4 linked regions of the Saccharomyces cerevisiae S288C genome follow. Changing the gene in region 2 together with the main gene of any one other region gives a genetic interaction. Each region holds a gene or a part of one and is shown on either strand. Other genes may lie near its edges.

Region 1 (5,225 bases), on a different chromosome or scaffold from region 2:
TAGCCTGTGACAGTTTGCAACCTACCACCGACCCGATCTCTGGCCTCAAGAACAAGACAATCTTGAATACCGTTTTGGTGTAGCGTAGATGCAGCTTTAAGCCCAGCAATACCGGCACCAATTATAATAACCTTTTTTTTGGCTGGTGAAACTGTATTCATTCTCACACGACCACTGTTTTTGCCTTTATTAACTCACTTCTTGTTGGGAACAAAAAAAGAAAAACAGAAATAAAAAACTGCAGCAGAGCAAATTTGAAAATAGTTACCATGGTTTAAAAAAACTCCTCTTTTATATCTTTAGGATACCAAAAATTGTCTATTGTTTAAAAGATCTCATAGCGTGACATCCGTATATGGGTGGGTGACCCGAAATTTGAGCCTCCTTCTTGTAAAACGAGAGTTTGTCATAGCAACGGACCAACATGTGGTAAGGTGAGGTTGACTCAATTTTTTCAACATCTTATATACAATATAATAATATGTAGGTAAACGTGTCCATAAAATGGTTTTATGGAATAGAAAAAGAATCCTTATGCAAAATTTTGGTCAAACCATAATAAATTGGAAAATAAATCATCATCAAACACATTAGGAGAGTTCCCTATTTTACTGACAGTATCAAGAACATCTGAGGGCAATCCAGTATCAGTACCTAGATTTGCTACTGCACTTTCCGGAGAAATTGCGATTGAACCGTCGAAGTTAGTGGTATTATGAGACCTAGTAGCTAATGGTACTCTTTTGCTATTGTTATGTGGATTTTCTTGTCTTTCATCAGCATTTTCTTCTCTTTCACCAGCATCAACTTCAACATCCGCATCATTATCGCCAACTTTCTTGAACTGCTCAAACTTATTTCTATTAGGGGTGTCATCACCATGATCAGTTCCGAGAGTAGCTTCCAATTGCAAAGCAGAATCTCTCAGTCGTATGCAGAACATATGATTCAGCATTTTCAAACACCACAAGCACTCAGGAAGCATTGAAGGCCGATTTTTTGGCTTAGAGCACTCTAAGGTTCGCCATATTTCTTGGCAGCTTTGCATGATAGCTTTATTTTGAGTTACGGCAATCCCTGCGTGCAGGTAGATAATACATATTAAATTTACCGTGAATAGTTGAGAAAGGTTTAACCACCACGGAACAAAGAAAAGATTACTTCTCGTAATTTCAGCCAAATTTTCAATAGCCATTTGACAATGAGAAATTAACAATTCAGTATCGACGACATATTCTAGGGATTTATTATTTGCGGTAGATGAGGGGGCGATTAGACAAAATAATTGTCTTACTTCGAAAGTCAGCCTTATATCCAGGTATGTCATGAATGGTTGAACTTGATAGAAGTAACGATAATTGTCGTCGTACGCATTGGTTTGACTTCCAACTATAAAGGTGTCATACCATTGACCAAGTTGGCTGCGCAATTGCACGGTCTCGTTCAAATTTAAATCCTGTGCGTCTCTTTTTAAAAACTGTGTCACTATTATGGACAAATCAAGCATTTGAAAAGTCTCTTCGTGAAACCAATCATCTTCTTCTTGTAAAAATTTCTTTGACTTCACTAGATTCATCTGTTCGCACATCTCGCTCGCGGGTAATGATAGTTGGTAGAATCGACCCATTTGAAAACTTATCAACTTATCCATTATAAAACAACACCAGAAACAATGCCATGCTTTTGATTCATCATAAGTGGAATGGATCTCAGGAAATTTGTTTAAATATAGACTCATCCCATTACACATGTTCACCGCTTGACTTAACGCGTTCCAGCACGCCGTCTGTCTGTAACAGGTTCTGAAATAGAAGGTTATCAAAAGCCACGATTGTATTAGTTCGAATGATTCCCACTCAAAGGTCAGCGTGTTGATTATTAAATAAGCGTATTTGAATAAATTTTCCTCTATGGAGGGTTTTTTGATCAAAATAGATTTTTCCTCGAATGTGATATTTAAGGATGTGTTACTGTAGGTTCCTTGCCCTTTCTGACCATCTAGATGCCCTTCTCTGAATCTTAGTGTAGTAGACAAAATTAGATAAAGCATGGAAGTGAATAGATTCGCAGATGAATTATTTTGTTTACCTTGCCGTAGAAATTTATTGTTATATTGCTGCCAAAATGTCGCTTCGTGAATGATACTGAAAACAGGATTGATCTCATCAAAATAATACCTTAGTAACTTATTGATTAAGGATAAGTGAACAGGGTCATCAAAGTCGAAAAATTTAGACTCATGCCTTATATTTTTTTCTTGGCTTCTAAAGTCACCCTTATACTTTAAGTAATGGCCTCCTGACAAGTTCCAACCATAGTTTTGAACTCTTGGCCTTTTCAACTTCGCGTACTCTATTGTCTGCGGAGATAGATCCTTTAAAATAGATACACCAAGGTAATAGGGCAGAATATTTTGGTAGCGTCGGTGAAACCTATACTTATCTAAAGAAAATGTCTGCCAGGGTGATTCAAAGTGATCATTAACAGTGTTAGTTATTTGAGAGTTGATTATCTTATTCTCTTTAGAATTGATGTTGTTATTATGAAGAGCCTCTGCAGAGTCACATATTGCAGACCTGTGATTCGTGTCACAGTCTTCCTGACTATTTTTCATGTTGACCACTGTCGGGTTTGCATTCACATCACTAGCATTGGTTCTAGTTGTTCTAATTGACGATTCCTTGGTCGTATTCCCCAATTTTGAACTCAATTGCAGAAGTAATTTAGCCATGTGATCCTCCGGAAAACTGTTATTGTTATTTTCTCCATTTAAGTTGCTTCCGGAATGGAATGTATGGTTTGGCCTACCGCTCATGAAGGGTAAAGTGGATGATATATGATGATAATGTGAATTTGGATTGGGAGAGTTGCTAGCAGACGAAGATACACCATCTGAGGGGGCATTTATGATAATATTTGATTTACTTAACAAGTCCCTAGGAAAAGACTCACTGGTTTCTGCATATGTCTTACTAACGTCCCGAACAGCTGATGCGACCTGTCGTCTTCTTCTTTTACGGTTTGTAGCTTTGAAATCATAACGGCATTCTTTTTGATGTTTAGAGCAGTTCAGACAAGGATTGTTACCGTCGCATTTAACCTTTCTCTTCTTGCAAAGTTCACAAGCTTTTTGAACCCTGAGTCTACCTTTTCCATTTTCTTTACTTGCGGCTGTACTAGTATCAAGTGCATCATCAGTATTCCCGATAGCTGTCATTTCTCTGAACCGTTCCTTTCTATTAGTATGGGCCCATGTCCTATCAATTTGCCGACTTCGTGCTAAAAAAAACTGAAGGAGAACAATCACTACGATGATGAGCTTGATTGCTACTGAACGATGCTCAAATACAAGTATATAATATATTTCATGATTGATACTCATGTTCAGCCGGGTATCTTTTTTCTTTGTTTTGAGAGGCTGACGGTGACTCTTTTAATTTGAACAAGGAAATGTATCATGCACGTATGACAGAGAGAAATAGTAGTACAAAAATCAAATATTACGTGAATACGTGAGATGAATAGCCGATATTAAGTAGATAATGAGAGGTTTCAGACGAAGCACATAGTAAACTCAGAAATATGCACTTGCGCGATAAAGTGAAATTACCTTCATATTCTTGCAAGAGGAACTTATATTTTTGAGAAGAACTAGCATAAGCTTGCTGTGTTTAGTGTTCCTTTACGCAATTAGCTTTTCGAACGTCCAATAGCATATTTGGTTTGTTTCAGCTTTAATTTTTTTTATTTTGAATGCACTATATAGCAAAAAAATTAACTAAAACCTAATCCATTTTGTTATAAATAGCTTTTAAGGTTGATATTAACGATTCTGTATTATGAGAACCATTTATTAGATCAAGTGAATCAAAATTTTTTGAAGCGATGAGAGCATTTTTTAAATTTTGCATAAATTTGTTTTGCATTTTTGCTTTGTTGTGTTCATATCCTTTACTTCGTAACAGTATAACTTCGATTAGCATTTTGCTTGCTTTTACATAGTCACCCTTATTCATGTAGGCGATCGCTAAATTATAACGAACCCTTGTAAAATTCGGTCTTAGTTGTTTGCATTTATTGTACGCATTTATCGCAGAGTGATACGACTTAGTATTGGCCAAAATAGCACCATATCTATTCCATATTGTTCCATTATTGGGCTTTTCCAGTAGTAAAAACTCTAAGCATTTCTGAGATTGCTTTATTTTCTGATCCGAATAATATAAGATTGATAATACTGAATATATATCATACTGATCTTTTTTTTCTATACCCATATTCAACAGGGATTCTAGAATATGCGCCAAATGGGCCTTTTTCGGAATTTTATTAATGCTATCTTTGTTTTCCCCCGCAGAAGGTTGGAAAACCTTCGAAAATTTTGAAAGAATCCATTTGTGAAAAAGTTTCAATGACTCTGATTCATTTTGTTGATTTATATGGTGAATTGCTAAGTTTTCCAATGCAATTGTATTATTTGGATCCAAATTTAAGCAATTTCGCAAAGCAAGCTCTCCATTGCTTTCGCTTTCATTTTCAAAATTAACTATACCTAACTTCAACCATGCATTTATATGGCTTGGATCTTGTGAAATGGCTGCTTCAAAGGCCATTACTACTTCGTTCAAATTGGAACCGTTGTCCATTAGTACACATCCTATTTTATATGGGTCCCGTTCCGTTATGTAGATGTTTGATTTTAGGAATTGATATGTTTGTGGTACGGATGACAGCATATGCATGAAATCAATTGTTTCTTCGTATTCTGCCACATATTCATAACCAACAGTTTTTTCTTCTACATTGTTTTCTATCTTTAGCTCATTTAGTAACTGATTTTCGATTGATTTGAACTGAAATTCCCAGCCATTAGAAACAGATGAGTGTTCATTGTAAGATATTCGACAAGGATATATACGATTTTGCTGATATGCCGTACTATAATATTGTGCAAAGTACCTATTGTGCAAATTAGCGGAGCGTTTCTCATGTTTGTTTCTACTGGGCTTGGTCACATCAGCATTTTTATTCTTGGGGAAACAAGAGAATTCCTTTGACCACTGGTTCTCAAGTCTTGAAAATTCTTTTTCGCTGACACCACTATGTTGAGATTTATCTGCCGGTAGTGCGGCCCGAAAATCTATCTTACCAATACTGCTGCCGGTTTGACAATTGGTAAAGATGTAATCTATTGTTCTAGCATCTCGCGCGGCGCTATCGTTAGT
Region 2 (3,263 bases):
TGTCAGTGAAATGAGATAAAAAGCTTCTTTCTTTTCTTTTTCTTATTATTGCAATTAACGGGGGTCCGGGTGAGCGTAAGGGCGAGATAACCATGGCGGTATAGGTGTATATGATCAAGTTTTGAAGTCAAGATGCAGGATTGTTCGTTCCGTATTCACAATCCACCGTTAGTGTTACATCGTAGTTTTTGATGCTACTGTGGGCTGTGTAAAGCAGACGCGGGAGTTTAAAATTAAGTTTTGCGGTTATTTCTCGTTGATCAACGCAAGAGGTCAGAAAGCCCTTTATGCAAGGGATTTTTTCTTGCAATTGCATCTTATCATTTTTGTAGCACTGATTATACATAGCTTGACTCATTTGAAAAATTTTATAAACTGCATTTAGTATGGAACAAAACATAAAAATAAAAAAAGATGCGCACCATAATTTGTTTGCGCATATTAAGAATTATATTAGTTGTAAGATATTTATACTCTACGGAATATTTGAAACTTAGATCAGATTGCCTCGATCAAGTCAATATGTAATCAACACTAAGCCTTTTCTTATTGGTGTTGACCGAAATATCAGACTCTGATAAAGTTTCCGACCTCTTTTTGTTATTATTATCATTGCGATCATCAGTATTCTTGAAATTTTCTCCCCCTTTGCCGCCATTCTTCGAGGAAGACATATTATTGTTTTTATTTCCATTTGGTGGTTGGCTAAATGCCTGCTGATACTGTGGTAAAATAATTGGTTTTGCTTCAGCAACTGTCGTTGACGGAGAAAACGGCGGGGAGAATGAATCAAGATGGTTATTGATATTACTAGTATTGACATTGATATTGCTTGGTCTAATATTGTATTTGTTCATAGTTGTCCGTGCTTGAAAGTCGGCAGAATCTTTATATTTGAAGGAAGTACTTGGCATGGACCTCGGAGGAAAGGACGATATGATTACCTCAGAGGCCGGATGGCTCGTTGAGGAGGGGCTCACATTCAAAGGATACTGCACATCTACTGATGGTAAATAATTGATGGTGTTATTATTACTGGGAAGAGGATACTGGTAGTAACTATCAGTGATTGGATGGGAAGGAAAATAATAGGGAGCCTGTTGATGCTGTTGTTGTTGGTGTTGTTGCTGTCGTTGGGTATTATAAATGGACCTTGGAGAGATGGGTGGGATGCTTCTCGTGCTAGTAATGAACTCCGGCGAAGAATGTATTATTTGGGGCGCTTTTTCGTTTTCTGCCATCATCGGCATGTTCCCGCTATTAATATTAGTTTTCCTGTAAGGATCACTATATGATGTAGATGATGAAGCAGAAGACGAAGAAGATGCAGAAGAAGAGGAGGATAAAGATGAAGAGGAAGGCTTACGCTGGTGCGAGCTGGTAGAATGGTGGTTTTTATGTGCATGGACCGATTCCCGATGCTGTTTCAAATTATCAACTCTACTGAAGAATTTCAAACATGCAGGACACTGGAACGGCTTTTCACCAGTGTGCTTTCTTATATGACGTGCAAGATGTTCCGCTCTAGTGAAGGACATCGTACAACCGTCATATCCGGTGCATTTGAACGTTTTCCTTCGAGCACTTTTGGACCTCTTCGGAGTTGATGCCGCTACACTATTGGTGGCAAAGTTACCATTGCTGCTCGTAAGAACGCCTGCAGTATTACGATTCGTGGTATTTTCCATTTCGTGTTTTTTTCTTATCTTATCACAGTATTATTTATGTGTTAGTAAAAAAAGCTAAGCCAGTAAGTCGCTCCAGATTTTTTCTTTACATACATGGTTAATGAAGCTGTTGCAAAATACTGCAGCCAAGAACTCCTGTCTCTTTCAAAACAAGACGAAACTTTATCTGCCGGGATGAATAAGAATTAATCAAAATTATAGGCAATAAGAGTGGATTGAGATTGTTATATACGGAAGACTGTTGAACGGTTAAGGGGGAAGCCGTGAAGGAGCAAACAAATCTTGAAAAAGAAAACATTTTCTAAAAAAAAATAGAGGGGATAAATAAGGCCCTTAGGGGGACTCAACGGCGGAGAATTCGAAAGCCAAAGGATGCTTCCCACCGCTAAGCCAGGGCGAACGGCAGCGGCGATCGAGGATGCTGGTTCTTTAAGGGCACTCGTCCACCTTCGCGATTTTTCTCTTCCCTGAGTATTTGGCAGAGGCGATCAAGGGGTGGCTCACACAACCAGTCGCAGGAGCGTCGCGCATCGGGTATTAGACCCTATTCTGTACACCACAGCCTTCCAGCCCCTTGCCCCACGCGATTGGTGTAAACAATAGATGGCAGTAATCGTTGAGACAACATAACTACCGGCCGTCCCTGACCCTTTCCCCTCCTCACGGTAGAGACAACAACCACGGGAGGAATAAAAACCGGTGCTGGGCCAGCCGATATCGTAAAAGCCTAATTACCCCAGAGCTGCTACGCGGACTTCTATTCTTCCACGCGTCAATATGCCCCCGCGCGAATTTGTGTGGGCCGACCAAATAGAAGAATTGAACGGTGTGTACGCTCAGGGCCATATGATTATAGACGTACACAATGATTAGGCCAGATCGAAATCAGAGGCTAAAGTAAGGAAACGATAGAAAAATAACAAAGTAATTACTATTATGTCTGATAAATAGAAGCGACACGTTACATATTAAAAGAGGGACTACGTAGTGCTCTCTCTATTTCTTAGTAGAAACGGCGACCGCGACAGCTTGGAGGTCATCGTGAGAAATAGATACCTTCACATCGGTAACACCAGCTTCTTCGGCAGCCTTTTTGGCGTTACCGTGCAGTTCAACGGCTGGAGCGTTTTTGTTAACGCGTACGATTTCGATGTCTTTCAATGCAGCACCACCGCCTAAGGACTTGACGCCTAAGGACTTGAAAACAGCCTCTTTGGCGGACCATGTCCCAGCGAAAGAGCTTTGCACACTAGGCTGCGCGCTGCAGTACTCTATTTCTTGCGGGGTGAAATTGCGCTCGATAAAAGTATCATTTTCAACGTTGATGCTAGTGATTAATTCAACATCTACACCGACGCCACCGTTAGAGACTTTCTCCTTGGTCATGTTTTCAATCATCTTGGCAGTTTCAATGGTGTTAGCATTGATGTAACTGTCCTTGCTTTGGATGTTTTTAGAGTTGAAAGTCAAGGAGCCTGATTTCTTATCCTTAGATACACGGGCTAATGGGTCCAAGTAAACATCCTCTTCCAATTCATCAGTGTATGGAGCATGCTCTTTACTTACGAACAACTT
Region 3 (4,746 bases), on a different chromosome or scaffold from region 2:
ACTGATCATGCATCCAGAAGTTTTTGTGGAAGAAGACGGTATTATTTCTAGGATGAGATCACATTTAACAGGGTCTCTATTCTATGATTTGGTTTGGTGTGTTCACGAGGCGAGAAGAAGGGAAATGGATCCCGAATATAACAAGCAAGCCTTAGAGAAAGCCGCTAAGAAAAGAAAATTTTCCTCAAATGGTATCTACAATGGCACTTCGTCTACGGGTGGCATAACGGACAGAAAACTATATCCATTGCCACTATATAACCATATCTCCAGAGATGACTTTGAAACTGTAACAAAAACAACACCAAGTGGAACCACTGTTACCACTTTAGTTCCTACTAAGAATGCCTTAAAGCAGGCAGAAAAGCTAGCCAAGACAAATAACGGAGATTCTGACGGTTCTATAATGGAGATTAACGGGATACCTCTTTCCATGCTCGGGGAAACAGGCAGCGTAAAATTTCAAAGTTTATTCGCTAATACCTCGAATAGTAACGATTATAATAATAATAGGACGTTATTGGATGCGTCTAATGACATATCAATTCCCTCTAATTCAATTTATCCAGTGGCTTCTGTCCCCGCTTCGAATAACAATCCACAAAGTACTAAGGTAGACTATTATAGTAACGGACCTAGTGTAATTCCTGATCTCTCCATGAAAAGATCAGTAAGCACTCCCGTTAATCATTTTCCTGCGTCCGTTCCAGGGTTAAGGAACCACCCCGTTGGCAACTTATCTAATAATGTTACATTGGGAATAGACCACCCTATTCCAAGGGAGCACAGTAATTTACAAAATGTCACCATGAATTATAATAATCAATTCAGCAACGCCAACGCGATTGGAAGATCACAAAGTAGTATGTCCCATTCACGTACACCGATTGCTTCGAAGTCAAATAATATGACAGATTTGCATTCCGTCGTTTCCGACCCCGGCTCCTCTAAAAGCACGGCATATCCACCTCTGAGCTTGTTTTCCAAAAGTAATGATATCAATAGCAACAAAACGAACCAACGATTTTCTACGGGCACTAACACTGTAACTTCTTCTAACTTCCAAACCATCGATAATGAAAACAACGTGAAGACTCCTGGAAACAAACTAACGGATTTTTTTCAGCAACAAAGTGCAGGCTGGATTGAAGGCAACTCCAGTAATGATGACTTTTTTGGTTGGTTCGATATGAACATGGAACAAGGTTTTTAACGCCTATATTCTTCTAATATTCTAAGAAATATTATTACCCTTGTTTTCTGCTAATTTATTAAAGAAAATTTGCAAAGACGGCTACATAGGACTTCGAGTCCTTTTATTTATACATATTCTTTTTCGGATTATTTCCAATGTAACAATATTCAAGAATGGATCAACTTAAGGATTATTTATCAGTTTGTTATCACGACCTCCCTCCTTTGTAAAATGATGACCACACCAAAGTAGAATATTTATTCACTACCTATTTATTTTATTCTTATTAATATTTTATATATCATGCATTTATCCGTGTGCATTTACCAAAATTCATGAGTAACGATAACGCTTCTTATAGGTATCTATCTATTCCCATTCCGGTAACTTTTTTTTTTTCTCCAACGCTCAGTCCTTGCTTCTTTATCCCTATTCGTTTGGAGACGGTCGTCAATTTTAGCGGAAGGCTGAAAAATACATCGATCCGAAAGTGTTGAACATAGAGATGAGGCAAGATAACTATAAAGATAAAGAACCCAAAGAACGTAATTGAACTATTGTGTGAAAGAAGGTCGACAACAGCAAAGGAATCAATAGAGTTTTTCTTTGGTTTTCAAATTGATTTTTTTTCACCTGTTCATTTTTTTTTTTTCCATTTGGATAATATTATTATTGCCTATACCAGATCTTACCCTTTGACTGTTCAACTCATCAAGCTTTATTTGTTGAAGGGGCCAAATTCGGCTTTAGTAAGGATCCAGTACTTTCATTAACATACTAAACCCACGCAAGAAGGGCGCAATCATGATCAGAAGATGGCTAACTATAAGTAAGTCTGGGAAGAAGAAAAAGGCTGTTAATGATACCATTACAGAAGAAGTAGAAAAGGTTGACTTTAAGCCTGTAAACCACGATATAAATGATGAACTCTGTTATAGCGAATCATCCGATAATCCCTCTAGCTCATTGTTTGTCTCTAATTTGGATACCAAGGAAACTTTTTTGAATGAAGACAATAATTTGCAGATTTCTTCCGGACTAGACTATTCTTCTGAAACGTGCAATCAAGGCAGTAATTACAGCCAGGATGGGATATTTTATATTTCAAACGCAAAGGCTATAAACGCATACGGAGGCATTATCACGCAAGGGCCCGAGGCACCCATATTAGCTATGAAGGTGTCCGACTCAATGCCCTATGGAGACGGCTCCAACAAAGTTTTTGGATACGAAAATTTTGGCAATACATGTTACTGTAACTCAGTTCTTCAATGTCTCTATAATCTGTCCTCATTACGTGAAAATATATTGCAATTTCCAAAAAAATCAAGAGAATCTGATCAACCAAGAAAGAAAGAAATGAGAGGTAAGAAACCAAGAATATTTACCGAAGCAAGTTTTGAGAAAAGCATTGCTGGTACCAATGGACATTTGCCTAACCCTAAACCTCAATCTGTTGATGATGGAAAGCCTACCCCTGTAAATTCTGTAAATTCAAATACAGCTGGGCCTTCAGAGAAGAAGAGTAAATTTTTTAAAAGTTTTAGCGCGAAACATGTACAAGACAATAATAAAAAGGAAGGAAGTCCTGCTATATTAACCACTGGAAAACCCTCTTCTCGTCCTCAAGACGCACCTCCATTGATAGTCGAAACACCTAATGAGCCTGGTGCTCCGAGCAGATTGAGTTTCGAGAACGTCACAGATAGACCTCCGGATGTTCCGCGTAAAATAATTGTTGGCAGAGTTCTCAATTATGAAAATCCTTCAAGAGGTAGCAGTAATAGTAATAACCTGGACTTGAAAGGAGAAAGTAATAGCAGCTTATCCACTCCACTTGATAAAAAAGATACTAGAAGATCTAGTTCCTCTTCTCAAATATCCCCAGAACATAGAAAGAAATCCGCACTTATTCGTGGGCCAGTGCTCAATATTGACCATAGCTTAAACGGCTCAGATAAGGCTACTTTGTATTCCAGTTTGAGAGATATCTTTGAATGCATAACTGAGAATACGTATTTAACTGGTGTTGTATCGCCTAGCTCTTTTGTTGATGTTCTCAAAAGAGAAAATGTATTATTTAATACTACTATGCATCAGGATGCTCACGAATTTTTCAATTTCTTATTAAACGAGTTGAGTGAATATATAGAACGTGAGAATAAAAAAATAGCAGCCAGTGATATCAACAGCGATAGCGAACCGAGTAAGAGTAAAAATTTCATCAGTGACTTGTTTCAAGGCACTTTAACGAATCAAATAAAATGTCTGACGTGCGATAACATTACATCTAGGGATGAGCCATTTTTGGATTTCCCCATAGAAGTTCAGGGAGATGAGGAAACAGATATACAGGAAATTTTGAAAAGTTATCACCAGCGAGAAATGCTAAATGGCTCAAACAAGTTTTATTGTGACGAATGTTGCGGTTTACAGGAGGCAGAGAGATTAGTTGGTTTGAAGCAATTGCCTGATACTTTAACATTACACTTGAAAAGATTCAAGTATTCTGAGAAACAAAACTGTAATATTAAGCTTTTTAATAACATTCACTATCCTCTGACGCTAAATGTTTGCTCTTCAATAAATTCTAAGGTTTGTCAAAAGTATGAATTGGCTGGGATTGTCGTTCATATGGGCGGTGGGCCACAACACGGCCATTATGTTTCCCTATGTAAACATGAAAAGTTTGGCTGGTTGTTATTTGATGACGAAACGGTAGAGGCAGTTAAAGAGGAAACAGTGTTAGAATTCACAGGTGAATCTCCAAATATGGCAACAGCATATGTTTTGTTTTATAAAGCGATGTATTCAAACGCTGTTGAAAAGAATGATCGTGAAAATATGGCAAAAGAACAAGATGATAATATAGACAATCTAATCAAGTACGATGATTGGCTAAGAACTTGCAATAGTGGTCAAAAGAAAAAGGAAGAGCTGCCTATAGCAGACGATTTGGATACTGCTATAGACGACAGCTTTGTTTCTAACACACCCATAAAGTCTTCTAAAAAAAAGTCGAGAATGTTTAGTTTTAGGAAAAGCTGAAAAATATTTGCATATCAAGGAAGGTAAAGGTTCACCGTCTCCTTTAAAACTATTTTTTCTCTGACAGTATTAATTTAATTCTTACATAAATATAATATCTTTAATCTTCTTTTTTTAAACCGGCTCCGGAACCTTTTTCTTAAATTTATAGTTTTGTCTCAGTAAAAGGTTTTCTTTTAAACTAATACAATTATGAAGTATTTAGGCATGCAAGCAATCAGGAATCTAAGAATAAAAAATTGTCCTATACTGGAGCATGGGTGAACAAATATGACACGGATTCACCATTGTGTAGTCTTCTTATAGCTTCAGCGAACGTGGGACTAATATCGATCTGGTCAGCAATAGGTAAATCCAAATCTACCGGAACGGTATTTGTGCAAACAATTCTAGACAATCTACTATTTCTTAGCTTTTCTCTTGCTGAACCGGAGAAAATACCGTGTGTAACAATAGCTATAACTTCTTTGGCACCATGCTCCATCAACGTATCACAAGCTTTT
Region 4 (8,022 bases), on a different chromosome or scaffold from region 2:
CCAAATTTACAACCTCCAATTACCACACTAGATAGAGTGATTGAATACAAAAAGACACTGCAGAAACTAGCTCCTAAAACTACCTTCTTAATGAGTTTTTATCTTTCAAAAGACTTAACTCCAGATTTAATTCATGAAGCTGCCCAACAACATGCCATTCGTGGAGTAAAGTGTTATCCAGCGGGAGTAACAACAAATTCGGCTGCTGGGGTGGATCCAAATGACTTCAGCGCATTTTACCCAATTTTCAAGGCTATGCAAGAAGAGAACCTGGTATTAAATTTGCATGGGGAAAAACCTTCTGTCCATGATGGAGACAAAGAACCTATTCATGTATTGAATGCAGAGGAAGCCTTTTTGCCAGCCTTGAAAAAATTGCATAATGATTTCCCAAACCTGAAAATAATTCTGGAACACTGCACTAGCGAGTCGGCAATAAAGACAATCGAGGATATAAATAAGAACGTGAAGAAAGCCACTGACGTAAAGGTTGCTGCCACATTAACGGCTCATCACTTATTTTTAACAATTGATGATTGGGCCGGAAATCCGGTAAATTTTTGCAAACCTGTTGCGAAACTTCCAAATGACAAAAAGGCTCTAGTCAAAGCTGCTGTATCAGGGAAACCATATTTTTTCTTTGGATCTGATTCAGCACCTCATCCTGTACAAAATAAGGCCAATTACGAGGGTGTTTGCGCAGGAGTTTACTCACAATCTTTTGCGATCCCTTATATCGCCCAAGTTTTTGAAGAGCAAAATGCCTTGGAGAACTTAAAGGGCTTTGTTTCCGACTTCGGAATTTCCTTTTATGAGGTTAAAGATAGCGAAGTGGCTTCTTCAGATAAGGCAATATTATTCAAAAAAGAACAAGTTATCCCTCAGGTTATCAGCGATGGCAAAGACATAAGCATCATCCCATTTAAAGCAGGTGATAAACTAAGTTGGTCGGTGAGATGGGAACCTCGTTAATATGCAACAATATGTAGGCTCATTTGAGAGTATAGACCATATATACATATTTATGGGAAAAATAAACTTACCTTCCAATAGAAGTTATAGATGCCATCATCATGCCTATTGTTATGGTCCGTATCTCTTTACAGAAGTTCACAGCCAAATGCGTTGATATGGTATATTTTTTCTCTTCAGTTTTTTATCAAAAAATGCCACAACCTTGATTTAATCTTGCATACTAACATCCACATCTTGAGCTTTTTGCTTTTCGTCATTGCTTTCTTCCTCATCACTTTCACTACTATTATTCAGCACTCCAATCATCTTATTGTAAATTTCTTTATCTTTCGCACTCAATTCATTTAAGGGCAAATTACCTGAGTTCTTCTCTTGCAGCCAAAAGAAGTACCTTTCGTTGGATGAAAAAACTAAAGCAAATATTCTGCCACTTTTACTGGATTTTATTGGAACCCACATGGTCTCTCCAGGAATTAAAATCAAAGAAATAGGATCAAGTTCCCTCCCGACCGGCTTTTCCGTTGGACGCCACTCGAAATCCCAAAATCCCAATTCTTCCTCTTCATTTGGTTTGATCTCGATTTCACCCTGAACTGGAATTGGCGTACATAGACGTGAATCTTCGTTGTATTCACAAACACCAGCCCTGAATTTAATTACAGTTGAACTCATACTCATCAACACTCTTTTAAAATTTATAAGTCAACCAGCACTTAGGTAGTTTTCTGGCACCCTTATAGAACCTAATCTACTGGTCATAGTAGAGTATTTAGTAGCAAAGCTTTCGCCACCTCGCGAATAATATATCACGAAATACGGAGGAATTTTAACTGAAATATATCAATAACGCATATCAAGGAGGGGATGACTTGATGAGTTGAAAATAATATAAATGGTTCAAGCAACCGTTTGTACACCACTCAGTCAATTATTGCTTCAATTGAAATTATAGAGGACCGAAGATTAGTCATATAAAACAGGGGTCTTTTTTTCTTTAGGGAGATTACTATTACAATGTCGCAACAGGATTCACAGCGCTGGCTGCCCACGGATCGGCTAATATATGGTGTGCTAGTCAAATCTTTCCTTCCCTTACAAAGGTATCCTGAGCTGGTATATGAAAACAGCAATTATGCGAACGTTTATGTGGGTGCAGAAGTTTACGTCTTCGAAGAATCTGTGGATAAGAAATGGTGTAGAGCGTACCAATGTTTACGACCCTTTCCTGAAGAATTCATATCGAATATGAACTCGGCGAATGATGTACTGCCAGACGTGAAACCGAAAGTAGTGATATTTCCTAGAAAATATGTTCATTTTGAAGCAGAAAAAGCCGTCAGCACAATGCCATTTTTCAAAGCACCTAGTGCTGAGGATTTTAAACCATTGATAAGTAAAGAATGTGAGTCCCGCTCCTTTTGTGACAGCCTATATGTTAGCTCTACTGATGATATATCAACTGGTAAACCAAGAAAGACACCGAGACCTCCGTTCCCCTTTTTCAGATACCAAAAGAGGTCCTTTAAGGACGAAATGGGTCCTATATTATCTCTTATTTCCTCGCATGTTTACTCTATGTATTCAATTGGCGAGTTTTCTATATATAGGAAAATGATAAAACTTTATTATGATTTGGACACTATACGATTTAGATTGTCTATGAATTTAACCACAGAGGCTGAGAAAATAAATCTGATAAGAGCAGCAACATCCCTAAGAACTAAAATCGCAAAATTTTTGTCCTCCACATACAGGAAGAATAAACTAATTGCTAACTCTACTCCAAGAAACCCAGATCCTTATGGTTTCGAAGGAATTTTTGCCAGGGATATTGATACTGGCGAATTGCTCTCATACGAGATCGACAAATTAAGAACTTTAGTGTCATCGTCAATGCTTTGTGGTTTAACTAATAATTTTCCTACTGTACCTGTGGTAGAGTCCGATGATGAGTCCTCATCTAACGGACTATTCGGCACAGTTAGATCGAGCATTTTGGTTAACTTGAAAGATCTGGCATGGGATCCCTCTATATCAGATCCTAAATATCAAGATCTTTCTATTTGTGTATACTTGAGAACCAAAGACGAAGTTTTAACAGAGTCTTTTACCATGACGAAGTCGTCCAATATGGAATCAGCTCTAGATGAAATTCCTGCAATGTTATTCAAGAATATTTTGGAAACGATAGTCCATAAAAATAAAGTATACTTAGTAGTAGTGCTGAAGGAAACAATAGCAATTACAACAGAAACTGCTCCGGAAATTTCATCTTACAATATATCTACCGAAGAGTCAAGTTCACATTCCCCATTTTCTCCATTTAATTCATCGACTGAGAATAAGATTGACCACGTAAAAAAGGGCTTAGCTGCCGGAGTTATTAACATATCTCCGGTATTCAAGTTTTATAACGGCCTATCAGTTGCGAATAAAGCTCAGAGGTTTAACCTTTATCTTTATAGCTCCGATTCCTCGGATTCGCAAAACTTCAACTCTTCAAAGGATGCGGATTTAGGTTGGGGCGGGTTAATAAATAAGATAATAAAAGATTCTTCTGAAGGCGTTTCTGTGAACCCTAGGGCTGTTTCTTTATCGGTAACTGTAAAGGAAATTATAGGCAAACAAGAGGCGGAAAAAGTGCTCTCCACATCTTTAGTACCGATAAGATCTATTCCCACATACTTTTATGATACCATGTTTAGCCAAGCAGAAAGAATTTATCTGAACTTAGGTAGGGTGTCGCTTTATGGACTTCCTGCAGCTGATACAAATATAGAAAATGTTACCGTTCAAATATCCTGCAGGAATAAGGCCGTAAAATTTTGCAAAAATAAGCTCGAAGAGAGATCTGGGGACTGGAAGTTTGTTTCAGTTCGTCCAAATGAGAGCATAGGCGAATCGATTAGAATAGAAGGGGTAGAGAACATGAACGAAGACGAGACATTAAGAGTATTGGTATATTTGAATGGATTTTTGATGGCAAAATCAAATATACATATCAAGAAAAAGAACGAAATCATAGAATATAGAAAGGGTACCGTATTCCAAATAATGTCATCCAAATCAGTACCTCTAATTCATTTAGAGCTTGAAGCATCATATTTTGGTCGGAGATATAATATCAACCCTGCCATTACAAATTTCTTAGTTCTTCAAACCAAAAATGTTGAATTCGACCAGCAACTTAAAGAGCACTATTCAGTTACATTGAAGCAGCTGAATAACGTTTCTTTTAAAGATTTACTAAAGCATTTTGACACAATTTTAGCACACTATTTGTTACTTCTTGAATCGGTGAATGAAGCTACTGATAAAAAAGGCCCTTCTTCAAGTTTACCCAATATTGTATTCAGTGAATTCGTCAAGTTTTTAAATTTAATGTTAACACACCAAGAAAACTCTAGATATTGGTTTAATAGACTGTACAAAAAAGTCATGTCAAAGGAACTAGAATGTCCCAATGTTGCACCGATACTAATAAAACATATGACAACGATCTTTGATAGGAGTCATTCTTCTTGGACTAGAACAGGAACTGCAATCTGCCGAACCATCCTGTACATAATTGTGTTGGCAATCGGTTCGTCTCATTCTGATGAAATGCCTAATTTCAGTCATTTTTTCAGAAGCTTGCACAAATTTTTAATGCTTGCTGATGAGCCAATAATGGCGGATCAAATTTTGTTAATAGAAAGTATTCCCTCTATGCTGGAGACAATGACCAATCACTGTAAGGTGGAAGACTTAGTTCGTTTTGCGATCGGACTGTTTGAATGTTGCCAGGAAAAAGAAATGAATCAAAAAATGTACTCCAGGCCACTCTCAGTTCGAGAAGAAGAATATTTGAATACAAAGTTTAATTGCCTGTTGAAGTTAATTAACAAGAAGGTTTTGCAAAATTATTTAACCAATACGGAATCCGTAGATAAACTGAGGTTACAGTTTTTATCTAAAACCCTTGAGTGGTTACTTACGCCGTATACTCCAGGCGATGACAAATGTTTTCACGTAGAATCCTTACGCTTGGTTAATTCTGTTTTCATTACAATAATCGAAGATTACAAATTTGACATGCTACAAAGGAACTTGATAAGGTTACTACCATATTTGTGTAAGTCCTTCGTCCATTTAAGAAGGTACTGTAAGAAAGCACGTTTAATGAGGCCTCGAAGAGTTTTTACCATGCTTTTTCCCAGAGAAATTCCATGCAACTACATACCGGTTGATTCAATAGTGAATGATGAAGTAGTCGTAGAAGTTCTTCTAGAGCTTGCCATCATAATTTGTGAAATAACGAAAATTGCATCAAGCAGATTTCCATCATATCAATCTTTCAGCGAAATCATAAACTTGTGCGATAAAGACACTCTTTTTCAATCAAATTTTTATTCACGACAAATCACGAATGAAAATGTCTATACAATAACCAAAACAGTTTTTTTGTTTTTTAAACAAGATTGGTTCCCAGGAATGAAGTGGCTTGGCGTATCAGCGTTATTAGGAAGATCGTCTCTAATATTGCTTAGTTTATGCAAGGATTATATCATAGAAAATAATTCACCTTCTCCATCAAAGGAGTCTGAAAAGAGGGTTGACATGCGACTTTGGGCAGAATATGTAAAAGTCATACTACTAGTTTCAAACCATAAAAGTGCATCCTTGACTAAGTTAGCTATTACTCCACGTAAGGCCGTTTATTTGATATCGGGTGACCTGAAAAAAATTTCAGCATATATCCTAAATGAATGTTGGGATGCCCTAGCCACTGGGCACTATAATATCACTTATGCTAAAAAGTATGGATTAGGAGCCTTGAGTGATTGCCAATTTGAATTGTTTGTTCATAATCAATTTTTGATACGTGAGATCTTTATTTTTGCTTTCCATAGACATATCGATGCAACAAGAATTTGTTGCAAAATACTATGGGGATTAGGGCTAAATTTTTGGAGGATATTTGGGTCCCTACAACCAGCAGTGAACGCATGTATCCCAGAATTATTCAGCGCATACCAAATCGGGAAGCTTCGTTTGAATGATTACGAATTGGAAAGGTTTGTTTCTTGTTTGTTTTTTATGATGCACGTTCCCGATTCTGACACCTTTTTTCCTGCTTGTATGGATTTCTTAAGAGATTTACTTGGTTTTTTGCATATTGTAAATGAAATCTACAAAATACCTAATCAAGAAGAATTTGATGATGATCGGACTGCTCGGCACATAGAGATGTTCGAGTACTTGCTAGAAGCAAACAGGCCAGAGTTGTTTCATAAAATGATATATGATTTGTTTATCCACTTTATTCAGAAAAAAGACTTTGTTCAAGCAGCTTTGAGTCTAGAACTCTTGGCAGGTACGTACGCTTGGGATTCTAATGATACTCTTGAAGCAATATCTTTCCCGCCATTGCCAGAGCAATCTTCATTTGAGAGGAAGGAATATCTTCTTAAGGAATCCGCAAGAAACTTTTCGAGAGGCCAAAAACCAGAAAAAGCTTTAGCGGTATACAAGGACTTGATAAAAGCCTACGATGAGATCAATTATGATTTAAACGGGCTGGCCTTTGTACATGACCAAATAGCAGGCATTTATACCAGATTACAGTCCATTGATAGACTGGTTCCAACGTATTTTAAAGTTTCTTTCATGGGATTTGGTTTTCCAAAATCATTAAGAAATAAATCGTTCGTCTTTGAGGGTCTCCCATTTGAACACATTACGTCTATGCATGACAGGCTTCTACGAAGCTATCATGGGTCAAATATTGTACACTCACAAGAAGAAGTGGATATGTTATTGATGAATCCTCCAATGGGAAAATACATTCATGTAGCTTCCGTCGAACCGTGCTTAAGTATATCCGATAATTACAACAGTAGTGACAAGAAAAGCTCAATTAACAACAAAGTGCGGATGTACATTGAGAATAGAGATTTGAGGACTTTCAGTAATTCTCGACGTTTGCCAGGCGCAAAAGGAGTCACTGACCTGTGGGTGGAGGAATATACGTATCATACTATGAATACTTTTCCAACACTAATGAATAGATCAGAAATTGTAAAGGTTACGAAGAGCAAACTTTCTCCACTTGAAAATGCAATTCGTTCCTTACAAGTTAAAATACAGGAGTTATATGGGCTTGAAAACATGTGCAATAAAACTCTGAAGGACCACGGTGATGTGAACGATTTATTTACCGAGCTTTCTACAAATATTACGGGAACAATATCAGCTCCAGTTAATGGAGGCATATCACAGTACAAGGCCTTTTTAGAACCCTCCACATCCAAGCAGTTCAGTACTGATGATTTAGGAAGATTGACGCTAGCTTTTGATGAGCTTGTTGCAGTATTAGGTCGCTGTCTAACGTTGCATGCAGAACTACTACCATCAAAGGATCTAAAACCATCACATGATCTTCTAGTGCGTCTTTTTGAGGAAAATTTCGCTGAGGAGATAGAAAGATATAGTCGTACTCTCAGTGAGGCCAATCGTAGCAGGAATAACATGATTACTGCTCGAATAATTTCGCACAAGAACCCCAATAAAAAGGCAAGCTTTTCTGGAAGGGATCATCACACCTCAGGGTCCAATCATAGCCAATTTGTATTAGAACATAGCGACTCATTTGGCCCAAACAGTTTACTTTTTGGAAAATATTTAACAAGAACGTTATCCCACTCGTCCACTACGAGCAGTTTGGATAAAAGTGGAATTGTTTCCGGCACTTCGAGCACCTTTTTGGCAGGGTCACAGCCAAACACCAACACAGATTCACAGCACAAGCATGATTACTCACATTCGGGATAATATGTCAGAAGTTGTTCACTATAAAATATACGCATATGTAATCATTTATTTATTCATTCATGACTTTTAGTTGAAAAGGGCACATTTTTCTTTGTCGTAAAAGTGAAGAAGACAGCGAATTTTTTCCTTTCTCCTTCAAGTATTGCTTTTTTGATAAAGTATTTTTCGAAATATTGATACAATTATTGAATCTTTGTACCGTATCCTTTTTTTCCTTTTTTCTAAGGATTCTTC

The links.
Region 1: mutations in USV1 (region 2) and STB4 together harm fitness more than expected from each alone (negative genetic interaction), as found in Saccharomyces cerevisiae (one large-scale study listed by BioGRID).
Region 3: mutations in USV1 (region 2) and UBP13 together harm fitness more than expected from each alone (negative genetic interaction), as found in Saccharomyces cerevisiae (one large-scale study listed by BioGRID).
Region 4: mutations in USV1 (region 2) and DCK1 together harm fitness less than expected from each alone (positive genetic interaction), as found in Saccharomyces cerevisiae (one large-scale study listed by BioGRID).

Annotation. Positions count from the first base shown.
Region 1 is NC_001145.3:310,313-315,537, reverse strand, and holds STB4 (Stb4p), read right to left. Parts: upstream 3,383-5,225; coding exon 533-3,382; downstream 1-532. Other genes in the region: FMS1 (polyamine oxidase), read right to left, coding at 1-161; PEX9 (Pex9p), read right to left, coding at 3,786-5,225. UniProt on the Saccharomyces cerevisiae protein: Binds to SIN3.
Region 2 is NC_001148.4:113,737-116,999, reverse strand, and holds USV1 (Usv1p), read right to left. Parts: upstream 1,689-3,263; coding exon 513-1,688; downstream 1-512. Other genes in the region: trifunctional fatty acid synthase subunit FAS2, read right to left, coding at 2,685-3,263. UniProt on the Saccharomyces cerevisiae protein: Transcription factor that participates in the transcriptional activation of glucose-repressed genes during exponential growth in non-fermentable carbon conditions. Also involved in salt-stress response.
Region 3 is NC_001134.8:93,136-97,881, reverse strand, and holds UBP13 (ubiquitin-specific protease UBP13), read left to right. Parts: upstream 1-1,999; coding exon 2,000-4,243; downstream 4,244-4,746. Other genes in the region: SEF1 (Sef1p), read left to right, coding at 1-1,213; ribose phosphate diphosphokinase subunit PRS4, read right to left, coding at 4,488-4,746.
Region 4 is NC_001144.5:963,908-971,929, forward strand, and holds DCK1 (guanine nucleotide exchange factor DCK1), read left to right. Parts: upstream 1-1,989; coding exon 1,990-7,788; downstream 7,789-8,022. Other genes in the region: URA4 (dihydroorotase), read left to right, coding at 1-972; proteasome regulatory particle lid subunit RPN13, read right to left, coding at 1,183-1,653; protein kinase regulatory subunit ATG17, read right to left, coding at 8,010-8,022. UniProt on the Saccharomyces cerevisiae protein: Forms a transiant heterodimeric complex with LMO1, that acts as a guanine nucleotide exchange factor exchange factor (GEF) for the small GTPase RHO5. DCK1, LMO1 and RHO5 relocate to mitochondria upon oxidative stress and trigger cell death.